Tamandua tetradactyla: one gene and its partners. The protein of the gene in region 1 binds, or shares a complex with, the protein of each later gene. Links are inferred from orthologs where the notes say so. Each region holds a gene or a part of one and is shown on either strand. Other genes may lie near its edges. The genes, in order: RBM48, DHX16, SF3B2 and CWC15.

Region 1 (7,227 bases):
TATCTTTCAGTTGATACAGTAATCTCGATTCTTCTGAGTTATCAGCCACATTTGAGAAAGCACTAAGCACTTTCTAAGCCAATGTGGAAGTATTTTGCTATTTCAACATTCCCAAGAGATCTTGGATTAAGTACTATAGATATGACAAGGCTGCCTACAGTGATTTCATCTGTGGGACTCATTTATCCAAATGCAGAAAACTTCTTCATAATTGTATAGACAATGTAAATTCTGGCAAATAAACCACCATTACAAATTAAAAAAAAAGAATGAAGCTGATCAGGTCAGGATTAAGGTAACTCAGAACACAGGGGTAAGGAAGACATTGTCTATATTTTAGAACCTCACCTCTTTGAGACCAAAGGAAGAAAGGCTTATTTTGTCCAGAATCTAAATTTTCTGTAGCACATAATCTAACTCACTCTGTCTGAATACCTCATTTAAACAACTGAAACAAACACAGGGAGCCCAGAATAAGAATGAGGGCCTTTAATCCTGTATAGCTTAATGTAATGCCTGGATACATCCTAGAATATACTAAGCAGATAATCAAAAAGTATTGGCAAAGTCCCTTAAGGGACCAGAGAAAAATATGGAACTATTAAACTTTGCCACCAGGGAAATCCCTGACACAGTGTGAAACTTTAGGGACACCCAAATCAATACACCAAACCCTTGATCTTGAGGTTTACTCTTCTGAAGCTTATGTATGTAGTGGAGAAACTTAGCCTACCTACAAGTATGCTTAAGAGTTGCTTCTGGAGGACCTCTTTTGTTGCTCAGAGATGGCCTCACTCTCTCTAAGCCCAACTCTGCAAGCGAAATCATTGCCCCCCCCCCACCACGTGGGACATGACATCCAGGGGTGAAAGGCTCCCTGGTGACATGGGGAGATGATTCCCAGGGATGAGTCCAGCTCTGGCACTGTGGGATCAACAATGCCATCCTGACCAGAAGGGGGAAAAGAAGTATAACAAATAAGGAATCAGTGGCTGAAGTTCAAATAGAGTTGAGATGCTACTCAGGAGGTCACTCTTCAGAAGCTTCAGTTAGACATTGCTACCTCTCATAACTTGCCAAACCCCAACCAAAACCATTCTAGTCAATCCTAAAGAATACTTAGGGCAATATATGAGTCTATAAAGATTCCAAGCACTAGGGTAACTTTCTAGAAACCTACAATCTCCAGATGGGTACCTGGACCAGATAAGTCCTGAAACCTAGAGGGACTTCAAAACATCAGCTAGTTCCATCTCCCTATTGTGTATTATTGATAGCCCCTTCCAAAATGAAAAAGTTAGAATGGCCATAGCCCAAATACCCCTAAAGAAAGGGATAGAAAGATCAAAGGTGATGGTAGAGTTACACAGAGAAGGAAGGGTTTAACAAACAAGTATGACTGGTGAATCATTATATTAATATTTTAGAGAAGCTAGAAGTAAAAACCTAAAATTGTGGAATTGTAACCCATACCAAACTCTAAAATCTGTTCTACAACTAATTGTGGCGCTATGCTTTGAAATTTATTGCTTTTTTGTATATATGTTATTTTTCACACACACAAAAAAGTTGATTGTGATAAAAATTATTTCCTTCTAGTCTCCAATGTCCTGGAGAAGCTAGAAGGAAAAACCTGAGACGATGATATAGCAGCCCATGCCAAACTCCAGGATCTGTCCTGTAACTACTTATTGAAAAGTGCTTTGAAAATTATTGGGTTTTTCTTTCTTTGCTTTGTATATATGTTGTATTATACTATAAAAAAGTTTAAAAAAAAACAAAAACATATTGGCAATTCTTGAACAGAAGGGGGAAGAGAGAAATGAGACAAAATAAAGTTCAGTGGCTGAGAGATTTCAAAACAAATTTAAAAGTATTGGCAAAGTTCCTTGAGGGATGGGAGAAAAAATACAGAACTACTAAACTTTACCACCAAGTAAACCCCAGATACTGTGTCAAACATTAGGGACACCCAAATCAATAGACCAAGTCCTCGATCTTGAGGCTTGCTCTTGTGAAGCTTATGTCTGTAGCGGAGAAGCTATGTCTACCTATAATTATGCCTAAGGGTTGCTTCCAGAGAACCTCTTTTGTTGCTCAGATATGGCCTCTCTCCGTAAGCCTAACTCTGCAAGGAAAATCATTACCCTCCCTTCTTTGTGGGACATGACATCCAGTGGTGTGAGTCTCGCTGGTAATGTGGGATATGACTCCAAGGATGAGCCTGGTCCTGGCACCGTGGGATCAACAGTGCCTACCTGACCAAAGAGGGAGGAAAGAAATATAACAAAATAAGGTATCAGTGGCTAAGAGATTTCAAATAGAGTTGAGAGGCTATTCTGAAGGTTACTGTTTTGCAAGCTTCAGAGAGAGACTGCTAATTGCTATACTGTACTAAACCCCAAGCAACAGCATTCCTGTAAACCCCAAAGAGTACCTCTAGCTTTGAGACGCAATAAAAATTTCCCTCACTAAGTTTGTTTTTCAGAAACCTAAAACCTCCAGATGATTACTAGGCCAGATAAGCACAGAAGCCCAGAGTTACTAGTCTAAGAGCAGAAACCAGTTGTATCCCCCTGCCCCATAATGCTGACACACCTCTTTTCAAGATGAAGAAGTTAAAACGGTCCTTGTCCAAATATCCCTAAAGACTGGGAGAAAGATCAAAGAAGTTGTAACAGAGAAGACAGGATTTAACAAATGAATATGACTACTGAATCATTATATTGTTATATCTTTTTTAATCTCCATTGTCCTAAAGCAGCTAGAAGGAAATACCTGAGATTGTGGAACTGTAACCCATACCATACTATGAAATTCGTTCTACAACTGTTTGTTAAACTATACTTTGACATCTATTGCTTTTTTGTCTATTTGTTATATTTCACAATAAAAAATGTTAAAAAAAGATACCCATGAAATAATTTTTGACTACTTACTTGATATTTACTGTTCTGAAGACTTACAATTTAAAACAAAGATCAAGACTATTACATTCTTAAATAGTGATTAAGGTATCACCCACATCTTAGGATCAATTTAATAGAATTACTGTAAAGAAGCATTCTTATAAATTCATTAGGTAGGGATTTGAAAGTCAGTTGAAAATCTTCATCAGAGCTGAGAGTATTGTACAGGCCTTCCTGAGATTCTTCATCAAAGCTAAACGAAGTGTACTGGACAGGTCTATCTGGGGCAGGATGACTTCAGCCCTGAAGGAAGCCTATCAGAGCCAAAAGACTATCTACTTTATGGTAAAAGAACTAATAGAAGGATTCTTCTGAATTTAATATGTTTTGAAAGGTGGAAAAAAGCAATCTAGGAGAACAGTTACAGAGAACTAAACTGGAAAACATAGTGGAAATTACCGCAAAATCTTCAAAACTTCTTGCATGGCTTAGCCACTGTGGAAACCATCCATCCAGCTGGGTTTGAGGATTTTAAATGTTCTATTTTTTTGTCCCCGTAAGTATACTCATGTTTGTGAGATCGTGTGCCTTTATTTTTATTATGAAAATAGGGATGCTGTATATCTGCCTGTGCTTAAAGCTGTGAAACACAACTGGCACAAAGGCCAAAGAAGCGACCGACAGCAAAGGTATTAAGTATGTATTTCGAAATATGCATAATTCACTGTAGGTTGCTGGCACACCTTATATGTGCTCTGTAGGCCAGCGGCGCCGAGAGAGCTATCATTTTATTAACCTCTCCCGCTCGTGGGCGCTGTTCAGTCCCTGTTAACATCCAAGTCTGCCCTTTGCTCTTGAGGCCCGGACGGCAACGGTGCAGGCACCTGGAAATAGGTTACAGGAAAAACACATCTAAAAATAATAAGCGACTTCTCAGGAGATTGTCCAAACTGTAAGTGAGGGCTATTTCTGAATGCAAAAGTAGAATTTTGGCATTTTTAAAAGCCTAGTTTCACCAAAGTGAGAAGTCCTGGAATAAGGTACGTAAATTTAACGGCCCGGGCTGCTCTAGACGTGATATGGGATGCAAGGACTGTTCAGGCCGGCCTGCCCTAAAGGGGCCCCCAGTTTGGCCTCCGTACGGTCCGGCGGCGCCGGGAAGTAAGCTAGTGACCAGCCGCGGGGAGAGAGGCCTGAGCTGCCGCCGCATCCCTAACATCTCGGCCACGTCCGGCCTCAGGCGGCCGTCCGGCATCCGGGCAGGAAGTTCCTGCCCGGGTCGGCGCGTTACCTGCAGGAGGTGCAGTTGAGCCACGAGGCACCGAGGCAGGTGGAGGAAACAGTCGCGGGCGTTGGTGAAGATCACCTTCACGGCCGCTCCGCCTCCACCAGCGCCTGCCAAGCGATAGCTGCCCCACATCGCGAGCTAGCGCAGAAGCCGAGTAACCCACCCTTGCGCCGCGGCCGACTGGGACCAGGGCAGGCTGAGGGCGTCGGACCCAGAGAAGATCGATCGGCCCGCCCCCGCGGCCCCGCCCCCTTTCTCCCGGCGAGTCTGACCCGGAGTCCTTTAGGGGAGGCAAGAAAGCCTTCACTCACTTTCCCGGCCTCTCCTCCGCGCCGCTGGGGGCGGTACCTCGTTCACAGAACCACAGCTCACAGGAAACGATGGCCGACGCTGTCGATTCTCCAGCCAATCTCTGCGCGCCGTGAGCCCTCTGCTCTCTCATTGGATAAACAGTAGCGCAGCAAAGCGGATGTTGTCCTCTCTCCCAGGGCCAAAGCTGTCAAGATGGCGTTGAGTAGTGGGGAACTAGGGGGCTCGTTCGACCACCACGTGCAGAGAGCGGTGTGCGACTCGCGGGCAAAGTATCGGGACGGTAGACGGCCTCGCGCTGTCAAGGTAAAGTGATATGGGTTCCATTAGCCAAACTCGGTAGCTTTAAGTGAGCATTCACTCCAGATTTTTAAGTAAGGACAAGGCTATTGTCATATTCATCTCTCATAGGATATGGGCGTTAGAACCGAGGGGCAGGCAGGCCCCACAGATTTTCCCGAGCATCAGGTCTGTGAGAGCAGGGCTGTGTTAGTTTGCAAGCTGCGGGAAGTGATATACCAGAAATGGCACGGCTCACAGGAACGCCTTTGTCGGCTGAGAAGTCACGTAGCTGGCATTTGCTGGTCCCTAGCTCCTGGGCCCGGTTGCTTTTATTCTCTGTTCCTATCCGGATTGCTCACTTTGCTTTTCCAGGGCTGACTTTCATCTCTTGGCTTCTCTTGAGTCTCACCAGGTTCTGTTTTGCTTGACTCTCATGGCCATATCTGCTGTGCCCCATGCTTCTCCAGACATCCGAGTCTCTGTTTTCCAAACTTTGGTTTCTGTGCCAGCTCTACTCTGAAGTTTTGTTGGCCCTGTCGTTTCACCGAAGTGTTTCCCCCTTTTAAAAACTCTAGTAATCTTATCAGGACCCTCCTGGAATGGGTGGAGTCACATCTCCATGTACGCAAAGGTCACGCCCACAATCCGGCGTGTCACATCCCCGTGGAAATAATCTCATCATGTTTCTAACCTACAGTGCTGAATAGGGATGAAAAGAAACACCTGCTCCCACAAAATTAGATCAGGATTAAAAGATGGCTTTTCTGGGGTACATAATATTTTCAAATTGGCACAAGGGCTTTGCTTTATTCTTTGTATTTTACATTCTTATAACTGCTTTGCACAAGGTAAGTAAGTACTCAGTAAATATTTGTTGAGTGAATGTTCCCAATAACATGATCCGTTTTAACGATTCAGTGTCTGGAAAAAGTCTACTGAAGGTGGTCTGGTATATATTTTAATTAGAGGCCTTCCCATGTGGAACTAGTTATTCTTTATGCAGAAAGAGTGGCAACTTTTAAAATTTTGTGTATTGTCTGCAAATTGGGTTGAACAGTTTTATTTTCAAAGCCTATTCTTACAAATAAGGGTAAATTTACCCTAGGCTTATTTGTGAAATTCATTTAATGACTGCATTTCTTTTAGGTATATACAATCAACTTGGAATCTCGGTACTTAATAATACAAGGAGTTCCTGCAGTGGGAGCAATGAATGAATTAGTTGAACGATTTGCTTTATATGGTGCGATTGAGCAATATAATGCTCTAGATGAATACCCAGCAGAAGAATTTACAGAAGTTTATCTTATTAAATATCTGAATTTACAAAGTGCAAGGTAATATGCAAGTTAAATAGTGTTTCATTTCCTCCATCCCCATTGCTATCAAACTGGTCCCAGGCATTCCTGAATTACCCAGTAATCTAACATAGCCCTGTATGGCTCTTATTTTCCTCCAGCATTTTTAAAGATGAGCCTTACCAAAACACTGTTCCCATCATGTCACTCCTATGCTTAAATTAACAACTATCTGTTAGGTGTAGTAGATGAAAAATTGGGTTTGGGGTAAGTTTTCCATTTCCACTGCTTTCTAGCTTCATAACCTTGGGCAAATTATTTAACCTTTTAAAAGTTGTTTTTTTCTCCTTCTGTAAGACCCATCTGGTAAAAGGACCTCCTTTTGAGGTTGTATGAGGATTGAAATGAGGTAGTCCATGTAAGGGTTTCACATAGTATTTTCCATTCAGAATGCAATAAACATTAGCTCTTGAGGTTCTTATTTTTATAGTCCTAAATGAATTTTCACCATTTATGCAGCCTGCCATATTATATAAACCCTCATTTCAATAAGATTAAAGTATAAAATGCCTCATCCATTTTTTGTTAATTCCTAATTTTGCCACTAATCTGCTCCAAAAGCCATCTTTGTCTGGTTATTACAATTCATATTTTCTTGTCTGTGTTACCAGTAGCACTCATTGTCTGCACAAAAGCATGTGATTTTATGGAGTCATGTGTTGCTCTTATATGTAATCTCACTTCCCCAGTCAGCTTTCCAGTTCCCAGTGGTTATGGAAACATATTTTCTAAAGCTTTTGCATTTGAATTCTAGCTCCACCAAAACTAGTTGTGTGACCTTGGCCAAGTTATATAATCTCCCTGTGCCTCAGTTTCATTATGAGGTCGTGTGAAGTGTTAATTCATGTAAAGCAATTAGGACATGGCATATGATAAATATAATATTTCTTATTATACATAGGCACAGAAGAAGTATTTATTTATTGTAGTAGAGCCTGGTCAGATATAGATGTTCAATAAATATTTCTTGAATGAATACCATCCTCCTTGTTTTCTCATTGATTGGTTGCTTTATATTCAGTATTTCTTAAATTATTGCAAGTTTTACAATGATAATATTTTAATTATTAATGTTTTTTTT
Region 2 (7,956 bases), on another chromosome or scaffold:
TCCCCTCCCTCTGTTTGTGTGGACTTTCCTCTTTCTCCCCGTGAGCTACGGGAAGGTCTTTTGGTCCTCTGGGCCTTTCCATGGGTCTCCTAACCTCTCCTAGGTACTAGGTCCCCTTGCTCTGCGTCTTCTCCAGTTGTAAGAGATGAGAGAGGAGAGCATGAGGGACAAGGTGTCAAAGGCCCTTGGTTTCCCAGGGAAAAGCAAAGAGCTGAGGTTATGGAAACCAATGAGCCTGTCCTTTTTGTCTGGGACTCACTTCTCAGCCAGCTCTTTCTTTTTTTTTTTTAATATTTGTATTGACAAATCTTCACAACATACATTCCAAACATGGTGTATAATCAGTGGCTCACAATATCATCACATAGTTGTGTATTCATCACCATGATCATTTTTTAGAACATTTGCATCACTCCAGAAAAAAAGAAATAAGAAAAAAGAAAAAACACATACATACCATATCCTTACCCCTCCCTCTCATTGACCACTAGTATTTCCATCTACCCAATTTATTTTACCCCTTAGTCCCCCTATTATTTATTTATTTTTATCCATATTTTTTTACTCATCTGTCCATACCATAGATAAAAGGAGCATCAGATATAAGGTTTTCACAATCACACAGTCACATTATAAAAGTTGTATCTTTGCACAATCATCTTCAAGAAGCATGGCTACTGGAACACAGCTCTACAGTTTCAGGCACTTCCCTCCAGCCACTCCAATACACCATAAACTAAAAATGGATATCTATATAATGCATAAGAATAACCTCCAGGATAACCTCTCAACTCTGTGTAATCTCTCAGCCACTGAAACTTTATTTTGTCTCATTTCCTTCTTCCCCATTTTGGTTAAGGCTTTCTTAATCCCTTGATGCCGGGTTGCGGCTCATCCAGGGCTTTCTGTCCCACATTGCCAGGGAGATTTACACCCCTGGGAGTCATGTCCCATGTAGGAGGGAGGGGGAGTGTGTTCACCTGCTGAGAGGCCACATCTGCGGAACAAAAGAGGTTCTCTGGGGGTAAATCTTAGGCCTAATTTTAAGTATGCTTAGCCTATCCTTTGCAGGAATAAGTTTCATAGGGGTGAATCCCAAGCCAACTCTTTCTTGCTGAGCAGCTCAAATCTTACCTGTTCTGGGACGCCTTTCTGATTGCCCCAAAGGCACCCAGGGACTGGGTTCTGATCACAGACTGATTTTGATGTATTTTAATTTCCTTTTATACTTCTGCCTTCCACACTCTAAACAGCAGCGACGTTGGCCCTGTTATTTCTTTTGCCTCCCAGGCTCCTGCCAAAGCACAGGCCAAAGTCTGATGTTTTTAAAACGATATTATTGAAGAGGGAAAATCTGGAATTGAAGAGTCTGAATGCAAAGGGAAACCAGATCCCGTAGTGGATGGGGAGGGGAGACGAGTCCCTGCCTCTCCAACTTCTACCTGCTTTCCCAGCCGGCTTCTGGGGCCGGCCTCATCACCTCCCCCATTTCTCTTCCACCCCCAGCTCAAGATCTCCTTCAGCGAAACGGCCCTTGAGACCACGTACCAGTACCCCTCTGAGAGTTCAGTGCTGGAGGAGTTGGGCCTGGAGCCCGAGACTCCCAGTGCCCCCAACCCCCCAGCGGCCCAGCAGGACGATGAGGAGGATGAAGAGGAGCTGCTGCTTCTGCAACGGGAGCTCCAAGGCGGGCTGCGAACCAAGGCGCTGATAGTGGGTGAGCAGAAGTTCCGCCCGCCCGAGCGCGCCCCCTGGTGTTCAGAGCGGGCACTGCTGCACTGGAGGGAAGGCGCGGGCTTGGCAGGACTCTCGCCCAACAAGCTCTTTTCACAGACGGGGAAACTGAGGCCCTGGGAAGGGAAGTGCACATCAGGTCTCCAGTTTCCAAGACCAGGGCTCTTTCTGAACACTCTAGTATACTTAAAAACACAGGGTTTGGATCAGACAGGCCTGAGTTTTAACTTCAACTTTTATCTTGTGGTATGTCCTCGGGGAAATTGATCTCTCTTGGCCTCTCTTGTAAAATGGGGGTTAACAATAACTACCTCCTGGAGTTGTTGAGAGGTGTGAGTAATTGTTGTCACGCACCTAGAACCATGGGTAGACAACAAATTACTTAACCTCTCCTGGGACTATTATGAGATTAAATGAGTTATTATAACATTGCCTGGAACAGAATACAAGCTAAATGAGTCGCTGATGATTGCAAGCATCAAAACCTGGAGGACATTATAGGACTTCCTAAGTGTCAACTGCCCTTCATTAGTGGGAGGGGTTGGGGAAGGGGGGCAGAGGCCTTCACTCACTCTCCATCTTTCTTGCTCCCTCTCACACAGATGAGTCCTGCCGGAGGTGACCATCTTCCCACATGGGGCTCTACCTCCCTCCTTCCCAAAACTGAAGATCCGGGAGCCCAGAAGTTCTGGAGCAGATAAATCCTGAAAATGAGCCTTGCAGGGAAGGGCAACCAACATCCCCTAACTGGCTTTCCTCTCATCCTATTTCTGGGGGCACAGCCAATTGCCCAACTTCACCCCTAAACCATGGTCCCTGGTGTGGGTGGGTCGAATGTGCTGGTGCATGCTAGGTCATCTGAGAGTGAACCCTAAGTGTTGGGAAGGAGCACAGAGCTCACTGGGAGGGGTGATGTGGTGGAGATGGAACACACCTCCTCACGCCCCATTTCACAGGCAGGGACACTCCCCACAGTCTTCCTCAGTTCCCTATCACCCCCCTGGGGACTGGCAGGATTTAAGTACTCATCTGGCTGGCAGGCCTGGCCCTTAATCCCTTTACAGGCACTTCTCCCACCTCTTCCCTAGATCATCACCCCTGTGTTTACAGCTCCTGTCTCTCTGTTGACCACAGCCTGGTTTACAAGCCCCACCAGCCCCCCAGCCCATGCTGCCAAAGTCCCAGGTTTACGAGCCATGCCCACTTGCTGAGTCCACGTGAATTTCCTCTCTGCCCTCTGCATTCACCTCACTGGGAGTGGCCAGGGGGTGTGGCTTCCTTCACTTTTGCTCAGTATTACTATGCCTCAGTTTTCCCCAAGAGGAAAGGCTGGGATTCTTAATTCCTAATCCCCAGATAGTTATTTAATTCTGTTCCTGCTAGTGGTTCACAATTGATATTGAATTGAATTGTACAGTGGTGGGGTGAATAAGGACGCATTTCACCTCTTCCCCATTGCTTCTTCCTTATCAGTTGTTTGTGTGTTGTTTTTTTTTTTAACTTTCTGTAATAAAATGGAGCTCCCTGTGACTCCCCTTGCTGCTTGTTTAGAGAAAAAAAGTGTATGGGGGAGCAGGGAAGGCTCTGGTTTCATCATTCCTGGCTTCTGTCTTCCTGTTGGCCATGAAGAGGAGGTAGTGCCATGGCTATGGGAGGGAACGATATGGGGGATGAGCCAGGAACGTAGCACTAATGTATAAAAAAGGGCTCGGGGAGATCCCTGCATAGGGCTTGCTAAGGACAAGCTGGAGCCATGAGGAAAGGCAGTTGAGATGTCACAAGACTGAAAGTTCCAAGAGGGCAGATCATGCCAGTTGGGTTAACTGCAGTATTCCCAAGCTTGGCACTTGGTAGATACAAGATAATTATTTCTAAAATGAATGACTGAAGAGAAGAATAAATAGATGAAAGGAACTAAGAAATCTGTAGAAGAGGAACTCTGAGTTGAAGATTCCAGTATTCAGAAGCCTGCTGCAATGCAAGCAGCCAGATAATGTATGACTCACAACCTATGTGGCTAATTTGTGCCAATACGTGAGATCATAGGTAGTAAATCCCCAGAAATGGCTGCAAAATTTAGTGAGTATGTACAGAAGTGGAGTTTCCTGAAAAACTGTTTTCATGAATAGACAACTTTTTATCTTCCTAAAGGATTAAGAACTCACAGCTTTGCTCCCTAAGTATAGTTGATGGTGGATTTTTCCAATTCAAAGAAACTGTTATCTTCTACAAATGTGGGGCATCTGCTATATTTTACTTATCAGGTCATTTCTAAGCTCTACAGCCTAGTCGTGGTTAAATACCAATAGTTCTCTATCACTATACAAGATGCCTCTCTCAGCCTAGTCAGAGGACACCCTTTTGTTAGAACCCAAAGTTGATCTTAGGCATATGCCGAAGATCTTTAATTCACTAGCAAGGTATCAACAGAATGAGCCAGTTCAGTCTGTGGTATGGAGGGAAGCAGTGCTGACAGCAGCAGCTAATTGGGTAAAGATGTAAATCAGCTGTGATCCAGGAAAGCTGGCCCAGAAGCTCTGATGCCACGGGTGTCCACAGTCCATTTCAGACACAGAAAACAATGCATCCAAAAAGTCAATAATATGAATCCACCTGTGGCTGTTAATTGGAATAATAACAATGTTTCATTTCTCAACAGAAATAAAATAATTGGATAAATCCAATTAACCATAAAAGTATGAAGCAGGGTCAGAGGCCACACAGCAGAGCATCAAGTAACAGGTTCTGCTTTTAAATGAGCATCCACCAGTGAATTTCTCAAAATTCCTTTAGCTTGGGGATTTATTTTTATTTTTTGTCTTAAACAACTTCCTGAAAAGCAAGAAGAAAAGAGGGCACCTTTGTTTTGCTTTATTTTTCAAGTTTCTTCCGGCCCGGAGGGCCTAACTTATACTAACCTGTATCCACCCCTGTTGCAAGTATCAGTCCTATCAAAGGTCACTTCGAACCATCCTGTGCTAATCTTCCGATCTGAAACAGAATCCTTCCTCTCTTACCTTGTTTTATTTTTGGTTCCATAGAACTTACATATTTTACACATTTGTTATATGTCTCGTCCGCCTCTTCCCACCCCCACCCCCACACCCGCCTAGAATGTAAATTCGGCAAGGGATTTTTTTGGTCTGATTTGATCTCTGCTGTATCCCGAGCGACTAAAACTGCCTAGCACACATTTAGCTCTCGGTATTTGTCCACTAAATGAATGAAGTGCCGAAGGACTGACTGACCATCAGGGGGCGAGAGAGAGACAGCGTAGAGGCGGAAATGGGTATGGGAAGCATTTTAGCCCCGTGTTCAAGGACGGTCCCGCGAGGCTTGAACTCTCTCGGCCACCGTAGTGTTTAGGCCAGAAAAGTGCGTTTCCTTCCGGCCTCCGCAGTCTTGGAAGACGGCTTTAGGTTGGAAACCGAACCATGAAGTCCTAAGGGAACTCCCTTGCGGAACTGAAGCTCCGACTTGGGGCTTCAGGCCTCCGACGTGACTGACAGCCAGCTCGGCTGCTCTTGGCGCTTCAGGACCTGGAGCAGGGAGCGTGAGTCGCCATGGCGACGCCAGCTGGGCTGGAGCGTTGGGTGCAGGACGAGCTGCACTCGGTTCTGGGGATGAGCGAGCGGCACGTGGCCCAATTCCTGATCGCCACCGCTCAGCGCTGCTCTTCAGGAGAGGAGTTCTTGCAGCGCCTGCGAGATACCGACACGCTGGATCTCAGCGGACCGGCCCGGGACTTCGCCCTGAAACTCTGGAACAAGGTGTGGGGATGGGGTGGAGCGCGACTGGGGCGGGGCCCGGCGTGGGAATGGCGGGAGACGGGAAGTCTCCCTTGTTTGTCCAGATGAGGCTGACCTTAATGTCCATAGAAGAGTTAAATAAGCTTGTTCACAAGCACTTATCTTTTGTCACCCGGGAATTATGCCAGGTGCTGGACATCCAGCTCAGTGGAGAAGATCGAGGGGAGGGCTTACTTGTGTTACACTTGGCTGAGTGAAGTGGTAGAGAGCAGTGGTTCTCGAACTGGGATTCATCCAGGGCCCTTGTTAAAATGCAGATTCCGATTCGGTAGTTCTGTGGTGTGACCTTAGTTTGTACATTTTTGTCAATCTCCCAGTTGATGCAGATGCTGCTGGTCCACAGGCCGTACTTTGAATAGGAGGGCTGTAGAAGACATATAGGGGAAGTGCTGTGGGAATGCAGAGAAGATGGGGGTAGGGATCAGGGAAGGCAAGTCTTCCTTGTCAGGTAAAGTCGGGGGAAGGAGTCAAAGTGTAAAAGATGAGCTCAGGCAGGATCGGATTGTGTATTTCTTGTCTTTGTATTTCTACTGCTAACAGTGCCTGACTTGCAGAGCAGTTCTCTGTAAATGTAGAAAGAAAGAACGCGTTTCATATATTCAGAACCTGGCAGAATAGCCTGGTAAAGCTGTGGCATGTGGTGCCTGGCAAGAGATGAGGTTAGAATGTAAATGCCATGAGGGCTGAGACTCCAGGTGTCTGTTCACTGGTGTATTCCTGGGGTCTGATCCAGTGCCCAGCATGGGGAAGTTTTCTGTAAAACAATTCTTGGGGCTTGTTAATCCTTGTCCAGGAAAGGCTCAATCACTGGGAAGAACAGAGCCAGGAGAAAGTGGCTGAGCATTTAAAGATTGAGGTTGAGAATATAAGCTCCTTGAGGACAGGATCATTTGTTTCTTTTATTTATTCCTGTATCTCTAATGCCTGGCACATAACAGGCATTAATAAATGTTTGTTAAGTGAATGATTTATTGTAAGGAAGCTCAGAACCCTACTTAGGCCAAAGGACATAATGTGAATGTGGTGGGGAGAGAGAGAATGAAGTCTGGTTTGAGATCAAGTAATTCCTTAAAAGGACATGAAATTAAGAACCTTGGCTAAGTAAGATGGGCAGAGATCAGGAATTGTTCATGTCTTTTTATCTTCTCCTCTACTGACAGGTACCACAGAAGGCAGTAGTAGAAAAGCCAGCTCGAGTAGCCGAGCGAGAGGCCCGAGCCCTACTGGAGAAGAACCGATCTTATAAGTTGCTGGAAGACAGTGGGGAGAGCGGTGAGGAGATTGCCGGTAGGGCTGGGAGAAGCCTCCAGAAGAAGCATAAGAAACGGAAACATCTCAGGAAGAAGCGCCACGAGGAGGAGGAAGAAGAGGAGGAAGAGACCTCAGAGAAAGAAAAGAGGAAAACAGAGTAAGTCAGAAGCAGGGTGAGAGAGGATGGGGCAGGTGGATGAAGTTTGATAAGCCTTCTGGATACCCTTATTTAATCTCCTGGGTGGGGTTGCAGAGGGAGTAAACAGCAGACAAAGAAGCCAGAGTCTGAGGATGAGTGGGAGAGGACTGAACGTGAGCGCCTTCAGGACCTGGAGGAACGTGATGCCTTTGCTGAGCGAGTTCGGCAACGGGACAGAGATCGGACTCGCAATGTCGTGGAGCGGTCGGACAAGAAGGTGTGTAGAGGCCAGCATATCCTCTGAATCCCCCCAAAAATCCCTGAGTCAAATCTGAGGTTGAATGTATTCCTAGAGATGGTGATTTCTGGGAAGACATAGGACTGTGAAAGCACTCCTTTGGGTCCTTTGGCTGTGGTGACTCTGCTGTTCCTGCACCCATTGAGATTCCTTACTGAGAGAGGATATTTTGTGCTCAGGCACATCTGAATGATCCTTGGGATTCTAGAAGGGAAATGACTGTGGGTGTAGGGGCTTCTTACCTTTCTATCCCGCCACTCTTGGTTTCTTCTCTTAGGCTTATGAAGAGGCTCAGAAGCGCCTCAAGATGGCTGAGGAAGACCGGAAAGCCATGGTGAGTCCCAGGGCCCAGGAAGCCAAGATTAGATGAAAAAGGAAAGACTTTCTGATCAGGGGTTAGGGGTAGAGAGAAAGGATGCAAAGGAAATGTGGTAGAGATGCTGATGTAGTGGTCAGGTCTTGGAGGAGGGGGGTTGGTTGACAGGAGCCAGCTGAGAATGGAGGGACTTAGAGAAGGCCATTGGGTGAACATCAGTTATCAAGGGCAGAAACTATGAGTGGTAGCTATCCCAAACCTTCCCTAACTGGTAACCATGGAGAGCCAAAGTTAATTAGTATATCAGTGAGGAAGAGATGAGCCTTTCCTGTTCCTGAGACTTAAATGGGGTGTAAGCAAAAAGCGACTTGTCAAGGAACATTGCCAAGTGATGGCGAAAGGGCGGAGG
Region 3 (7,642 bases), on another chromosome or scaffold:
AGGACAGCCTGCAGGAAGAATCAGAGTCCTTAATTCTCCTGGGATGTACACTTTCTTCCCTTTGTCACTGTCCTGCCTACAGGACTTGGTGCCTACACTGGAGTCTCCCAAGGGGAGCAGGCCCATTCCTATCCTGGTAAACTTGTTGAAACTACCCTATTTCTCAGAGGAGTTGGAGTCAGCAAAGGGGTTCAAGCCTGGGGGGAGTGGCAGTGGGCCTTTCTCCAGAAAAAGGTGACAGGGGTTCTCAGTGCCCTCTACATCCCGTTCTTGGCCCTTTCCCAGCTCCCCTCCATGGCTCAGCCTTGTGGAGCCAGCTGGCCCCCAAGCTCTGGCCTGCTCAGGAACATAGGTGCTGGAAGTCCCTGGGCATCACCCCCAGAAGGTGGGCACCAGCTTCTGCTTGGCCACCTTCCACTGGAGGCTTATCACCTTTGGACACTGCCTGGCCCATCTCTGAGCAGCCCTGGCCAGTGAAGAGTTCTTTCTGGGACAGCCAGGATCAGCTTCCCTCCCATAGGACCCTCTGCCTCTCTCCTTCCTTCACACCTCGCCCTATATTGTTGTTAGTGCTGCCCTCCCAGGCCCTTTCCTCTGAGACAGACTTTCAGGTATTTGAAGGCAGTAACCATGTCCCCTTCAGGTGGGCCCTCGACCAGGCTGAACATTCCATGTCCCGAGAGAGGCTGCTGCCTGGACCCTGGAGGAGGTCTGCCTTCCCCAGGCAAGTTCGCTTCTTGGAGTCAGAGTGCTAGCATCCTGGGCAGGGGCCACCTGGAGCTGGCTTCCCTCTGTTATTGCCAGGCCTGTGTGGGTGGGTGGCAGTGTTGCTGGGGCAGGTTTTCATGTTAGAGAAATGCACCTGGCCCCTGCTCCTCAGTAGCTGCAGACTACACCCCTGTCTCCCCAGGAGAGAGAGAGAGAGAGAGGGCCCCCAGTTATCCGTGACAGGTTAGGATGCCCAGCCTCATCACAGTATTGGTACTAATTTTAGTAAGAACCATCCACCTCAGGTTGCTGCCTCGTTGTGCAAATTGCTCTCCTTTCTCCAGGGAACTAAGGAAGAAATGGTTCAGCCAGCCAGAGCTTTGAAATTGGCCTGGACACCTCCTGGCTCCCTGATGAGCCCCTTCTCCTCTCTCTCTTCCCACCTCCAGGGCTGGTGTGGGTGTGGGTGGGGTGGGGGAGCTGCTCTTAGAGGAGAAGGGGGCCCTGGGCTGGACCACCTGGCTGGAATGCTGCATGACCTGGGGATTCCATCCAGACTTGAGGGATGGCAGAGCCGGTGGAGTAGGGAAACTGACCCAGGGAACTAGAGAGGAAAGGGCCGAGGGATCAGGGGGATTGCAAAAGAATGGCCCCAGGAGATCAAATGTCTTTCCATCTCTCTCTCTTATATTTTTCCTTCCCCTAGGAAGGGCCAGGTCCTCTCCAGCCCCCTCTCGCTGTCATCTACCCCCATGTCATCCCTGCCTCCAAATTCCCTTCATCCTCCTCTCTCCATCATTCCCCCCCACCCCCCCACCCCCCACCATATGCATACATTCCCTCGATTTCATCCCAACCTCCCCCTGGGATCCACCACCCGCATCCGCATCCGGTCACCACAGTGAACAGGCCAGATTCGCCCTCGCACCCCGTCCTCTCTGGCTCCTCGGGGGTAAAGCGCCCCCTCCCTTGCTCTCAGGCACTAGGCCCCCGGGGCACTCTCCCTTCCACCTCTCGTTCCCCATCCTGGTCTGGCCCCCCCCGGCGCCCCCAGCCCAGGCTGGCCACTGTAATACTCACGCCGCGCTAGCTCTGCCTCCCACCCGGGTGGGGGTGGTCGCCGCTACCTCCCGCGCTTTGTCCCGAGGTCCGCGCCGGGTCCAAGGGCTCCGGGGGCCCTGCGCGCCAAGTGCGGGTCGGTCGGCTCGCCGCGTCTGGATGGGATCAGGTGGCGGCGTCCGCTCGGCTCCGCTCCTCTCCTCTCCGCTCAGCCCGCCGCCCGCCCCCCATCGCACACCGGAGGCGGGGCGGGGGCGGGGGCCGAGGCGCGCAGGGGAGGGGGAGGGGAGCGAGGAGGGGAGCGAGGAGGGAAGGGGAGGGGGCCGCCCTGGCTTGCAGGTGAGGTCGGGTGAACCTTCTGCGGGTGGCAATTTCCGATGCCGGCATCTTCACCCAGCAGGCTTGCCGGGTCTGGACTCCATGGCTAGTCCCCTTCCCTCAATTTTCAGAAGGGGAAACTGAGCCCCAGAAGGTGTTTGAATAGGCTGGCATTGCAAGGCAGTCCTGGATGCCACTAGTCATACCTGGGTGCTGAAGCCTTATTCCTGGGGAACTCAAGAGACCCAGGTATACTTACAGGAGCAACCACGTGCTCAGTCCTTCCTCCTCTTCACTTCTTTCCACCTCCAGCAGAGAAGCACAGCTCTTGCCCCTTGTTTGGCCCCATCTCCTTCACACCCCCAGATCCCTTCCCTTCTAGCTTGCCCCCTTCTCCCCCAGGGCAGCCCTCTTCTGCTTATCCATTCCTACTCCCCATCAGGACTCCACTCAGTCCTGACCAGTGCTTTAGTGGGCCTGGGACCCTTGCCCAAGCATCTTGCACCAGGAATCAGAGGATCCAAGTTCGGTGCTGGTTCTGTTATTAGGTCCTGAGTCAAGAGGCAGCTCCGAAGCCCTGTTGCTTCAGTTCTCAAATGGAAATAAGCACTCCTGCCCTGCCTCATCCAGGAGCTGTCCTAAGATCTCAGTTTGTTCAAGTGAAGGCTCTGTCTGTGTGGCCTGGGGGTGGTCCTGAATTTCCTGCTGCCTTTGTAGTTCTTAGCTTTGGATACCCCATTTAGGGCCACACAAGCAGGTATTATACGAGGGTCCTTGTTGAGAAAGAATGTGGACTCTCTAAGTAGGGGAACTACTTGTGGCCCAATTGGCCCCTTGGACATGTTGGCTTCTCTCCACCCCTCAGTATTCCCCTCTGCACAATGGGGGAGTCCTACCCTGCCTGCCTCCATGGTGAAATGAGTTCCCACTTGGCATGTCCCTTTCTGGCCCTTAGCAACATTAACTTTTCACCAGTCAACTCTAAGCTTATCTGTCTGAGACAGAGACTCCCTCCCTTCTCCCCTAGGACACACACAACAGGGGGCCTCCAGCCTCAGGTGACCTGCCAGTGACTTTGGGGTTACAGGAGGCAGAAAGGCTTTCTGGATCAGAAAGGCTTAGAGTGGGTCAGGAAGGTAGGTTCTGCCAGAGTGGACTGACAGTACTCTTGTGCCTTCTCTGCTGTCCTTTTCTGGGTTTGGCTTCCCCTCCGGAAGTTGCGGTAGGAGACTGGGGTGGTGGTGATAATGGAAGGGGGATGGGTAAAAATTTGGGCAGGAATGAAGGGAACTTCTCCATCAGGGCTAGAACATGAGCTGACCTTCCTGGTGCAGACCTTTTCTCTATCTCTACTGAACCGAACCTCCCTGGACTTGGGGTATCCAGGTCTGTTGGGGGCAGTCGGTGAAATGGCGCCAACTAGAGAGATTGGAAGGATGTGGGGTGGAGGGGGCCGATAAATGAGACAACTGAACTAGGGCTCTCTCTTTCTCACCCAACACGCGCGAGCGCGCGGACGGACACACACACACACACACACACACACACACAAACACACACACACACAAACACACACACACAGTGAGCCTGGCTGTCAGTGAGGGTGAGGAGCTAGTTTCAGCAAAGAGCCCCTGCCCATCCCTGCCTCACGGCGCAGAGGCCACTTGGGAGAGGGCTGGCGAGGCTTAAGGAAGAAAAGTCCCTGAGTTCATTTTCGAGACGAAGAATTTGCAACTCTTGACGCCAGAAAGATTGTTCCATTTAGTCTTTTTCATTTACTGAGCGCCATTTCAGTGCCAGGTACTGCGACACAGTAAATAGATCAGCTCTCTGCTCACATTCCTGGAGATGGGGTGGAGGTGAGGAGAAAGGGCAGAATACAGACTTGAGTAGTGGAGGTTTGAAAGTGCTTTGGGAGCTCCAAAGGAAAGGGAAGTGGGAGAAGACTTAGCGGAGCGGACAACATCTGAGTCGACCTGGAAGGTGGAAAGGGGGGCTGTAGTGTCGCCCTCCCCGCCCCCAGGTCGGCAGCTGGAGCTCGGCCCGGTCGGGCCTGCTCCTCTCCCGGCTCCGATCCCCTTTCAGTCCATTCATCCATGCCTGGGCCGTGGGCGGGCGGGCAGACAATCAGACCCTGTGTTATCGCAGGCATCGGCTTCCACCTCCGGCTTAGCGGCCGTAACGCGTGGCCGCATTGGTGATGAATCTCTCGGGACTGCCCGATCAAGGGAGTCGGGTCGGAAGGCTCAGCAGGGAGACGTTGAAAGCACTCCCTCGGGCCAGGAGGCGCTCCCACCGCAGCACCACCCACGCTTCGGCCCGGGTGTTTCCCAGCGGCGTCGCTGGCTCTCATATATAGTGGCTTGAGTACTACAACTCCCAGAAGGCTTCGCGACTCGCTATGTAAGGACCATTGGAGAAAGGGCGCGTCTACGGGGACGCAATTGGGGGCGGGCCTCGATCAGAAAGTACTCCCAACCGCGAGAGGACGTAGCGTATGGCGTTGCCGGAAGTTCCGGGAATTGGGCCCGGAGGCTGGCTCGAGCTTCCGGATTGGTTGCGCGCCTTCGTGCGGCTAAGATGGCGGCCGACCATCCCGAACCTCCCAAAGGGGACTTGCAGCTGCCGCCGCCGCCACCCCCAGGGCACTATGGCGCTTGGGCTGCCCAAGAGCTTCAGGCGAAGCTGGCAGAGATCGGAGCTCCGATCCAGGGTGAGGAGCGTTGGAAGCCAAAAGGGACTCGCGTGGAACTACGAGGAAGCGGAGCTTGGTTACCCGGGAGACCTGGGGACCGCGGGACAAGGCTGGTCTCTGGGCCTGGACCGGGTCAGACTGGCCTGCTCCGGCCTGACCTGCCTCACTGATCCTATAACTTTGCCCTGCAGGGAGTCGCGAGGAGCTGGTGGAGCGATTGCAGAGTTACACCCGCCAGGTAAGTGCTCGCCGCGGAATGGCAGGATAGGCCGTTTCTCGAGAAGGACTTTAAGTCCATTCATGGCTCGATTTTCGTTCTTTATGCACCTTAGGACATCGGGGGCTTGCTCTCTTTGCCTCTCTTGCCTTTTCCTGCTCTGTCTTAATCGTTTCTGTGCATGTGGGTCTTCCCCATTGCCCAGCCTGAGTTCTGGCAGACAAACACTGGATAAATAGTGTTCAGTGAATGGGACGGAACGTTTTTTACCGTAACAGTTCCTCTTGGACTCACCTACATTGACCTCCTTTTCGCTTTTGCAGACTGGCATAGTGCTGAATCGGTCGGTTCTAAGAGGGGAAGATGGGGATAAAACTGCGCCCCCTCCCATGTCAGCACAGGTGAGGAGGTTGTTTCGTGTTATAAGGTCCTTCGCAGGCTCCGCCCTCCTCTCGAATGTGGTGTACTGGGTTTGCAGCTATCAGATTGGGCAGGGAGATATTGTGAGGACATACTGGGAGCTCTTCATTTCTTTCTTGGTCCTGATATTTGCCTCCTTTCTCAATGTCAGCTCCTCCAAATTCTACCTGTAGTTCAGGACTCAGCGTAAATACCTGGAAGCCTGACATGATGCTCCCTTCCTGGAAGTAATTATCCTTTTCCATGCCCTCCAAGGGGATAATTCCCATGTCATTCAGTGAGACATTTAAAGCCAACTCTCTGAATTGATTGCATACTCCCTGCAATTATTAGGGTTTGCTGGGTGCCCTGGTACACTGTAAATTTAATTCCTTGTAACATCTATGCTCCTTCTGATTCAGGTTTTTTTCTGATTTTGCTTCTTTTTCTCTAAAGCAGTGGCTCTGACCTGGGGTCCATTGACCTCTGTGTGGCATGAGGAGTCCCTAGATAGCCTTTAGAAGTATCCCTGAATCTCCTGAAATTATGCAAGATCTGCACTCATGATCATTTTGTGGGGAGAGAGTTGATAGCTTTCTTCAGTTAATGGTCCATAGTTAATAGTCTCTTTTCTTGATATTGCTATGGTGCATTCTCTTCTTGAATGAAAGAATCCCAGTACCTGTTTCATAATACGTCCCCAAAACATATTTGCAGAATAAATAGATAAATGCTTTCTACTTTATGGTTGTATTTTCTCCACAGCTCTCTGGGATTCCCATGCCACCTCCACCCATGGGGCTTCCTCCTCTGCAGCCTCCTCCGCCACCCCCACCACCTCCACCAGGCCTTGGCCTTGGTTTTCCTATGGGAGTTGGACCCCACCCACCAAGCTTGGGGCCCCCACCTCCCCTCCGTGTGGGTGAGCCTGTGGCACTTTCAGAGGAGGAACGGCTGAAGCTGGCACAACAGCAGGCAGCGTTGCTGATGCAGCAAGAGGAGCGTGCCAAGCAGGTAGGGTAGATGGAAGCCTATGCTTAGGCCTCACCAGGCCCCTGAAGGGGGAGCAGAGCCCCAGAGAGAGCTGGATCCTGGGGCTGAAGCTTTCAGGAAGCTCTGGACCAAGGACTAGAACATAGGCCTTAGGCTGGTAGAGCACCCTAGGAAGCCGAGTTGTGGCAGACTGGCCTGCGGGGTATCGGTGCTGGTATGAGCTTGTTTTCTTTTTTAAGCAGGGAGATCATTCACTGAAGGAACATGAGCTCTTGGAGCAGCAGAAGCGGGTAATGCCCCTCCCCCTAACCTCTGACCTCATGGTCCAGTCAGTTGACTGTTATTTTCTGCTTACTGCCCAAAATGAGATGCCCCATTCAAGTTTTCTTTGGAAGCTCCCTCATCCCCAACTATGTTCCATTATTTCCTTAGTAATTCCAGTCATTCTGTAGTCCAGGGGTTGTCAAATTATGGCCTGTGCCTATTTTTGTACAGCCTGTAAATTGAGAATTTTTAAAATATATTTCAAGGGCTGTAAAAACAAACATGCAAAAAGGAAAACCAAGAACATGCAACAGAATCCGTTTGTGGCCTATAAAAGCCACAGTCCAGCTCTTTACAGAAAAAGTTTGCTAGCCCCTGCGAGGTCTTAAATGATGTCACTTTAGGTTCCTTGGAGAGAAATTTTGGCTCATTTATCCGTTTTTATAGGTGTTAGACTGTCTAATATGAGGAATATAAGTTTGGGGATGATGAGTCAGATGTTATCCCTAGAGGTGCATTGTTTTAATTATCTAATGGGTTACCTGGGAGTATTTAAAAAACAGCATTAAGAGTAACAGATGAGAAAATACTTATGAAGTACTATCTTTGTACCCAGATTGTGCTTGCTCCTGGGGAGTAGATACAAGAAAATAACTCATAGTTCCTTCTAATTAACTTAATCTTTTGAGGAAGAAAATCCTCAATCAAAAAATAGAAGCAGTATTTAGCTAAATATTAATATCTGTGCTAGAAACTAGAAGCTTCCCAGGGTTTTCCTTGGAGTTCTTTCCAAGGATTTTCCTTGGTGATGAGAGGGCTACTCCATTTGGATCCATGACCTGGAAGCTGGAAAAGTGGAGGTGGGGGGAGCTCCGAGAGCCTGAGTGATTCCTGACTGTTCTCCTGGGGCCTCTTACCAGCCTGAAAGAATGCAGTTGCTAGGGGCCACCCATTGAATGGAGTTACAAGTTCTGTCTCCACCCTTACTT
Region 4 (7,044 bases), on another chromosome or scaffold:
GAGGAGGAGGTTGTATGTTCTGCGGAAAAACAATCATCATTGAGCTTACTGAAACAAAGACTATACTTCCTATAACATTTTAGAGAATTGTGGGCACATACAACTTAGATTTTAATCATCATGACAACTGGGATCTTACTGATTACGCAGCAGTAACTGGTGGTCCCTCTCAGGAAATTTAGGAACAGTCTACATACACTGGAAAAGATATTATATCTGATGCCTCTAGAGGACCGCCAATTGTCAGTGACAAATGGGAAAGCCTTAGTCAGAACCAACGGAACCTCACAACACACGGCTGGTGTAAACAGTCTTACACCCCTTGATCTGAACAGACATGATGATTACTGAGTATCTCTGGATCAATCATGTTCATTCTCATACAGAAGCATAAAAAGATGGAATTGGAATGACTCTCAGATATCATGTCTAATCATTTAAAAAAGTGTTACAGCTTACACCAATATATATCTAATATATATATATATATATATATGTATGTACCTTCCAGTTATCTGATGAAAGGAAAAACTATCTCTAACATATAATTTTATGAGACAAACATCTGGGATAGTGCTGGTACCTCGGGTTGGGCGATCCCTATTTTTCTCTCTTGCAGCAGCTCTCTCTCTCTCTTCCAACTCTCTCCTGAAGTCACGGTTACGAACCTCTTCAGGGGCATCCTGTGTAGTTTGTCTAAAGTAGAAACAAAGCAGGGCAAAAATATTTGTAAACAAACATATGGCTGTAGCAAATGGAAACAATTCACAAAAAAACCCATTTGTCTCCAGTCTCTCAAGAATAAGAGGGAACTAGAAAAGATCATTAACCTAACGGAAGTTTACTAACAGGCACTCGTGTGATGGTTATATTTCAAGAAGCCCAAACTAAATCACATACTTTCCCATAATAAGGCTGCAATTTTTTTTTTTAATAGGGGCATCACTCTGGACAAACCTACAAAATCTCATGTCCTACTCAAGGCTCCATGTACTTACAGCGTTCAATTAAACTGTCTACATAAATTATATTAGGAAATGCACAAGTCAAAATATAAATTTTGTGCCAATTAAACATTTTTTTGCTTTAGTTTCACACAGAAGTTGAAGTTTTAAAATATGAATTGCCGTCTATTTTCAACACCCTGCAGTATTGACTCGTTTTATCTCATGCAAAAACATTTTAAAATTTCTACATTTAGTCACTATCATTATACACTCTAGGCATTCCTAGGTTATACCATCTTTATCGTCTATCTTTCCTTTTGATTTCATTTGTGTAAGGCTGCATTGTGATGAATTTTTTTCTTAGTATTAGATCAATTCAGAGTTATTTATAGTAACACTTTAAATCTCATATTGATCAGCATTGATGATGTATGGTCTCTCTGAGGTAATCATGATGATGCATGGTCTCTTTGAGGTAATCAGGTATCAGTTTTTGTTTCACTTACATATGGAAATTCCCAGTTAATAGGAATTTCTGTTTAATGGAAAGTTTGTGAAAGTTTGCAATCAGAAAGTATAATTTCAGTGTTAAACATACTCTATTATATTCTATTTCTATGAAAGTAGACAATTCAAATGACACAACCCAAACATGCTACTGTCTCAGGACCATGCAATTAAATGCACTTGGTCTTATTCTGTAAACAAGAAAAAATGAGTATCTTTATTACCTGTATTTTATCTTTGTATGAGAGGGTAAATCTCTGCTGGAATACTGCTTTGAGAGCTGACTCAAATCACCTTCTCCTTTTCCTCTTCCACCTCTTGCAGGTTCAAAAGTTGGCCTGGCTGCTGTTGTCATCTTTTATGCTTTGAAGAAAAATAGTATCAAAGTTATTTCCAATATGATAAACTGATTTAATAAAGTTTTAATCAATAGTCAACCTTGTGAAATAATTTTCAAAACATAGTTTTCTCAAAGTTCTCAGGATAACAAATTATGACGTTAAAGGTATACAAGGAATGCAGCTTCTTAGGAAGCTGTTACTAAACACAAAATTTTGTAGTGAAGACCTGTGTTTATATTCCAGTTCTTCCCCCTGTGTGGCCTGGGCCAAGTCACCTAGTTTGTTTCTGCCATCTGTAGAGTTATTGCAATTATGAGATTCACCATGTCAAAACTCTTGCAAATTACAGTACTGCCATGAATGACTTAAAAAACCTCAACTCAACTAGACTCCCTAAGGTTTCCATTTTATCTAAAACTTGCACAACAGCAAATAGGCTAGTAGCCACAGAAACAAAATGATACTTTAAAATATCACTGACAAAGTCATTAAGTATCCTAGAGAAAAGTTAAGCTGGAGAAAAGCTCGTTAAACTTCAAATGACAGGTACATAGGAAAAATTCTCCAGCAATCTTATTGATTCAGTTATTCTATTACAACAGCCATCACCCTATAAATCAGATTTTTTTGTAGGTTAGAATTAAACAAATTCTCAAACACAAGAGCCTCACCTCACAGGATTCCGATAACCAAAAATCGGAGGCCTGTTCCTTATGTTACTCTCAGCTTTAAGTAGTTGGTTAAAATATTGCCTAGCAGACGTGACACTAAACGCCCTTAGCCCTCGGAAAAGCCACAATGTGGAAGGATGGGAGAACTGGACGGATCTTTTATTTCTGGTATACTTCTCTATATTTTTCCAAAGGGAAAGGCGTGTCTCCAGAGGGAAAAACAGGGTTTTCTGCCGCCGGGGGCGCCGCTGCCTCCCACAACTCCCCCGGATTCTTTATCACTCCGTCCCCCCGGGAGCCCGCTCTCGGCTATTTCCAGGAACTCGCTGACGCTTCTCCAGCGCCCGACTAACCTTCTTTTCTCGCCCCACCTCCCAGATGAGAAAGAGAATCTGCTACCCACCTGCCGCTCACTTTGGCGGAGATCTGAAGCAGGAACACCCGGAGCTCACTCAGACACCATCACGACTCCTAGTTCCCAAAAACCTCTGCGCCCAAGGCCGAAGCCCAAGACCCGGAAGCAAAACCCAAGCGCTTTAGCCGCCCCTTGGAGGCTGAGACAAAGACCAATCCGCAGAGGCCAAGGTGGAAGTCGGAGTGACGACAGCAAGGGGCGGGGCCGAAACGGCTCAGGGGGCGGGCGTTTGAAATCAGAGCTTTAGAGTAGACCCTAAATATCATTTTATACCTTCAAGAACCAATTACTTAATGTCTCTTCCGTCTTTTCCTTCCCCGACCCCCTCCCAGACTCCTTCATTCCGGTACTGCGTGGACGGAAAGCCCCGGGTAGCCGACACCACGTCCCCGACTAGCGGGAGAGAGCGTGGAAAAGGATTACACCAAATTGTTTAAATCCACCGGCTCCTGCTTCCTTTCTCCTGAACTAGACCCAACAAGCCTAGAGAGTTGGGCTACGGAAAAGCTAGTGTTTTCATTTAATTGGATATGAAGAAAGAACAAATATGTACGGGGGCAACCACGATCTTTATAAAGGTACCATTCCTGCAAAAATATTAGACTTCAAAGCAAAGGTTGTATTAGTATTGTTTGTTAAAATTATTATTTTTAAGTGTGAGTTCTAGTGGGAGGGAAGATGTCAGTATTAACGATTCATTCGTTTATTCACCGGACATTGAGCGTTTAGAACGGTGGGCCCAACTGCCAGAGCACAAGATGCAATTATAAATAAGATGGCTACTCAAGCGTTAGATGAAGTTTTAATAAGACAATCAACAGGAAAAAAAATCAGATATCTCCCCTCTCCCGTCGCAAAAAAAAAAAAAAAGCACTCAGTAGAGATCTTGTTTGCTGAGTTCATCTTGATAGGTCATCACATAGTCCTTGCACATAGTAGGCACTCAATAAATATTTGTTGAGTAAGTGAAACTAATCTCCCCAACTCATTTTCAGATGTAAAAAATTTCACAAAACTAAACATTTAAAAGCGGTTTCCCTAAACTCTTTCTTTGTAACTTTGAAACGGGAAAACAACAGTGGAAAAGTCCCTTCCGCTTAAGTCCAAGATGAAAATCTTGATTTTCTTTATAGAAAGTTTTCCTCCTCCACTCTTAAACATTTCATTAAATGACACTACCATCAAACCAAAATGCCAGGGCTCATTCTTGAGTTCCCTTTTCTTCATCCTTCACATCCAGTTCATCTGTAAATCGTGCTAATTCTTTCAAAATATGCCCTAAATTTGGCCATCACTTTTCAATCCATGGCCACCGCCCTAGTCCAAGCCACCATGATTTTACACTGAACTAACAATGAATTTTCACTTCACAGCATCAGTTTGGCAACAGTTAAAAAAAAATAAGTTAATACATCTGGATGGGATGAGAATAAAAAGGCATCCAGTCAGACAGGTGGGATTCATTGACTCCCGGTTTCCCACACAACATAGCCGAAGTCCACCTGATGGCCTACAAAGCTCTCCTGTTCCAGTCCCTTCCCTCCTTTTTTTTTTTTTAAACCTCATCTCTTGCACATGCCCCTCTTGGCTACATCGCTACCTGGTATTGCTTGAGCACACCCAGCACTCCTGCCTTAGGACCCCTGCACTATCTGTTTCTTCCACCCAGAACAGACAATCTTGCCCTCCTTATTTAAGTCTTTGCTCAGATGAGGACTACTTGACAGCCCTATTTAAAACTGCAACTTTCCTCCCCCTTTCTTTCTTAATACCCTACACTCCATATCTCCCTTAACCTCTTTTGCTCTACTTTTTTCTTTTTACATAACATGTATCATCTTCCATTATCCTGTATAGGCTAATTATATGTTACCTTTACTATCCTTCATCTATGTTTTCCATGCAGAATATAGATTCTACAAGCGCAAGGATCTTTGTTTTGTTCAGTGATGTGAGCCAAGCACCAAAAACAACACCTGGCACCAACAGGCAAAAAACACAACGAAATAAACATCTTCCAAATGAATGAATGAATGAAAAAATGAGTTTTAACAAGAAAAAAACACACTCTAATGTAAAAAGCTATTGCTTTTGTCTGTTTTATATTTTGAAGGGGGAGAAAAGTAACTTACTTTCTGCTAGTCTGAAATCCTGATTTTGAATGAAGATACACCGAGACTCAGAAAGATGATTTGCTTTTAGGAGAGGCTGTTTATATATAAAAAAAATCTGTGGTTATGATCAGGCTTTATATATACTATCAGAATTCTAATTGAATTAATCCCCTGATCTAATCACAGACTCAATGCACCATCTCTCCATCTCTTCCAATCGAATCATCTTTCCCAATTCTAGTAACCCCCCTCATTTACAAAGCTACCAGCCCATAAAGTGTGTTTTTACTTGAAAAATGTTTCTTTGAGCCTTTTAATAGGAAAATGAACAGAAAAAACCAACAGCCACAAGCATTTAATTTTTTCGAAAGCCTTAAAAAAAAGTTCTTTAACTTTGAGAGATGTTTATTTCATAATGCCTGTTTCCAAATGATATAAATAATGGCAGTGACTTTAAATTTTTAACCCCCAAAATACCTGTTTTCCCATTTGTAAAGTTAATCTTTTAATCCATTTTAACAAGTGAGAGTAGAAAAAATAAAGCCTCTACCAACCAAATCCTGATTTTACATGAGACCCTCGAGAGCTCAGAAAAATGATTTCCTGGAAATAGCCTCCAAATTAAATGCAACAACAAGAAAACAAAAACAAAGAAAAAATTAAATGCCACTTGTTGATGGTCCAGGCTAGGTTACTAGATACCTAATCTAATCGCATGGCTACCTGCCTAGCTGTCCAGTTTATTATTACTAAGGCAATTTAAAAGCAAAACACTAAAAATACACAAAACTAAACAAGTAGTGCATAGAAAATAAAGGGATAAAAAAGACACATCAGGCAAATTCTAACAAAATATTTTATAGCCATATTCTTCAAAGTATTAAAATTAAGTAGCATTAATATGGGCAAAGAGGGACATAAATTGCATTACAAAGAAAAATCCACTAGGAAAATATGATAATCATGTGCATTTGTACAACTAACCATATATAGCCTGGAAAAGCATGAAGTAAAAATAAAGAATTAAAAGGAAAGATGGATAAATCCGCAGTCATGATAGGAATTTTTAAAACTTAAATTTCTCATATCGATAGATCAAGCAGACAAATTAACACTGATCTATGTATGCATATTATATTTATATAATGAATGCACATAAATCCTGTAGCAAATAGAAGAATACATATGCTTTTCAGTAAACATTGAACCTTTACAAAAAGTGATTAAATATTAAGCCCCAAAATAAATTTTGATAAATACTATATGTATATTTCTAAACAATATTGTTTAGTCTCACCAATATTACATATGTATTATTTCATTTTGCATTTTCCTTCCACTTAATGTGTATTATGTATAATTTTAGTATACGATATAGAATTTTATTGTGTAAAAATACACCCTATAATTTAATCATTCTGAGAATTATGTTTGCTGTATGAGACTTACAAATAATGCTGCTATGAACATTCTTATAAATGTGCTGAGGTGCAAGTGTGTGCTTTTCTCTAAGATTTATATATCCTAACATTCCTATCAGCAGGATAAGAGTTCTTGTTCCACAATCTCAACACACTTGGTGTTGTCCAATTTTAAATTTTAGCTCATCTGGTAGGTATATAGTGATATATCACTAAGGTCTTACTTTGTATTTCCTTCATTATTAATAACTGTTTCATAGGTTTGTTGACCATTTGGATTTCATCTTTTGTTATCTGTTCAAGTATTTTTTGTTGGATTGGCTATCTTTTTCTTATCAACTTCTGCACGTTCTTAATACTCTGGATACCAGTTCTCTATCAGATATTTGTACTGCATATATATTCTCCAGCTTCCTGGTCTCTTTTTAGTATATTTTGATATACAAAAATCTTTTCTTTTAAGATAGTTCAGTTTAGCCAGTCATTTCCTTTTTGCTTAGTGTATGGCATTTCTTGATTAAGAAATTCTTTCCTACTTAGAGATAATAATGATCTTTTCAGATATCATCTTCTAAAGCTTTTATGGTTATGTATTTCACAATTCCACCAGGAATTCATTTTTGTGTAT

Evidence for each region.
Region 2: RBM48 (region 1) and DHX16 share a complex: the UniProt entries of both Homo sapiens proteins name them as parts of the minor spliceosome. The link is inferred for Tamandua tetradactyla from reciprocal best matches to the Homo sapiens genes RBM48 and DHX16.
Region 3: RBM48 (region 1) and SF3B2 share a complex: the UniProt entries of both Homo sapiens proteins name them as parts of the minor spliceosome. The link is inferred for Tamandua tetradactyla from reciprocal best matches to the Homo sapiens genes RBM48 and SF3B2.
Region 4: RBM48 (region 1) and CWC15 share a complex: the UniProt entries of both Homo sapiens proteins name them as parts of the minor spliceosome. The link is inferred for Tamandua tetradactyla from reciprocal best matches to the Homo sapiens genes RBM48 and CWC15.

Annotation. Positions count from the first base shown.
Region 1 is NC_135327.1:123,744,623-123,751,849, reverse strand, and holds the start of RBM48 (RNA-binding protein 48), read left to right. Parts: upstream 1-4,329; 5' UTR 4,330-4,701; coding exon 4,702-4,812; intron 4,813-5,934; coding exon 5,935-6,125; intron 6,126-7,227. Other genes in the region: peroxisomal ATPase PEX1, read right to left, coding at 4,201-4,329. UniProt on the Homo sapiens protein: As a component of the minor spliceosome, involved in the splicing of U12-type introns in pre-mRNAs.
Region 2 is NC_135331.1:85,562,218-85,570,173, reverse strand, and holds the start of DHX16 (pre-mRNA-splicing factor ATP-dependent RNA helicase DHX16), read left to right. Parts: upstream 1-4,951; 5' UTR 4,952-5,297; coding exon 5,298-5,504; intron 5,505-6,703; coding exon 6,704-6,951; intron 6,952-7,047; coding exon 7,048-7,210; intron 7,211-7,508; coding exon 7,509-7,565; intron 7,566-7,956. Other genes in the region: PPP1R18 (phostensin), read left to right, coding at 1,507-1,717, 2,337-2,356. UniProt on the Homo sapiens protein: Required for pre-mRNA splicing as a component of the spliceosome. Contributes to pre-mRNA splicing after spliceosome formation and prior to the first transesterification reaction.
Region 3 is NC_135335.1:8,380,617-8,388,258, reverse strand, and holds the start of SF3B2 (splicing factor 3B subunit 2), read left to right. Parts: upstream 1-4,623; 5' UTR 4,624-4,665; coding exon 4,666-4,798; intron 4,799-4,971; coding exon 4,972-5,018; intron 5,019-5,320; coding exon 5,321-5,398; intron 5,399-6,161; coding exon 6,162-6,410; intron 6,411-6,628; coding exon 6,629-6,679; intron 6,680-7,642. UniProt on the Homo sapiens protein: Component of the 17S U2 SnRNP complex of the spliceosome, a large ribonucleoprotein complex that removes introns from transcribed pre-mRNAs.
Region 4 is NC_135334.1:47,987,253-47,994,296, reverse strand, and holds the start of CWC15 (spliceosome-associated protein CWC15 homolog), read right to left. Parts: upstream 3,001-7,044; 5' UTR 2,870-3,000; exon of another isoform or gene 2,857-2,869; intron 1,818-2,856; 5' UTR 1,810-1,817; coding exon 1,679-1,809; intron 697-1,678; coding exon 584-696; intron 20-583; coding exon 1-19. UniProt on the Homo sapiens protein: Involved in pre-mRNA splicing as component of the spliceosome. Component of the PRP19-CDC5L complex that forms an integral part of the spliceosome and is required for activating pre-mRNA splicing.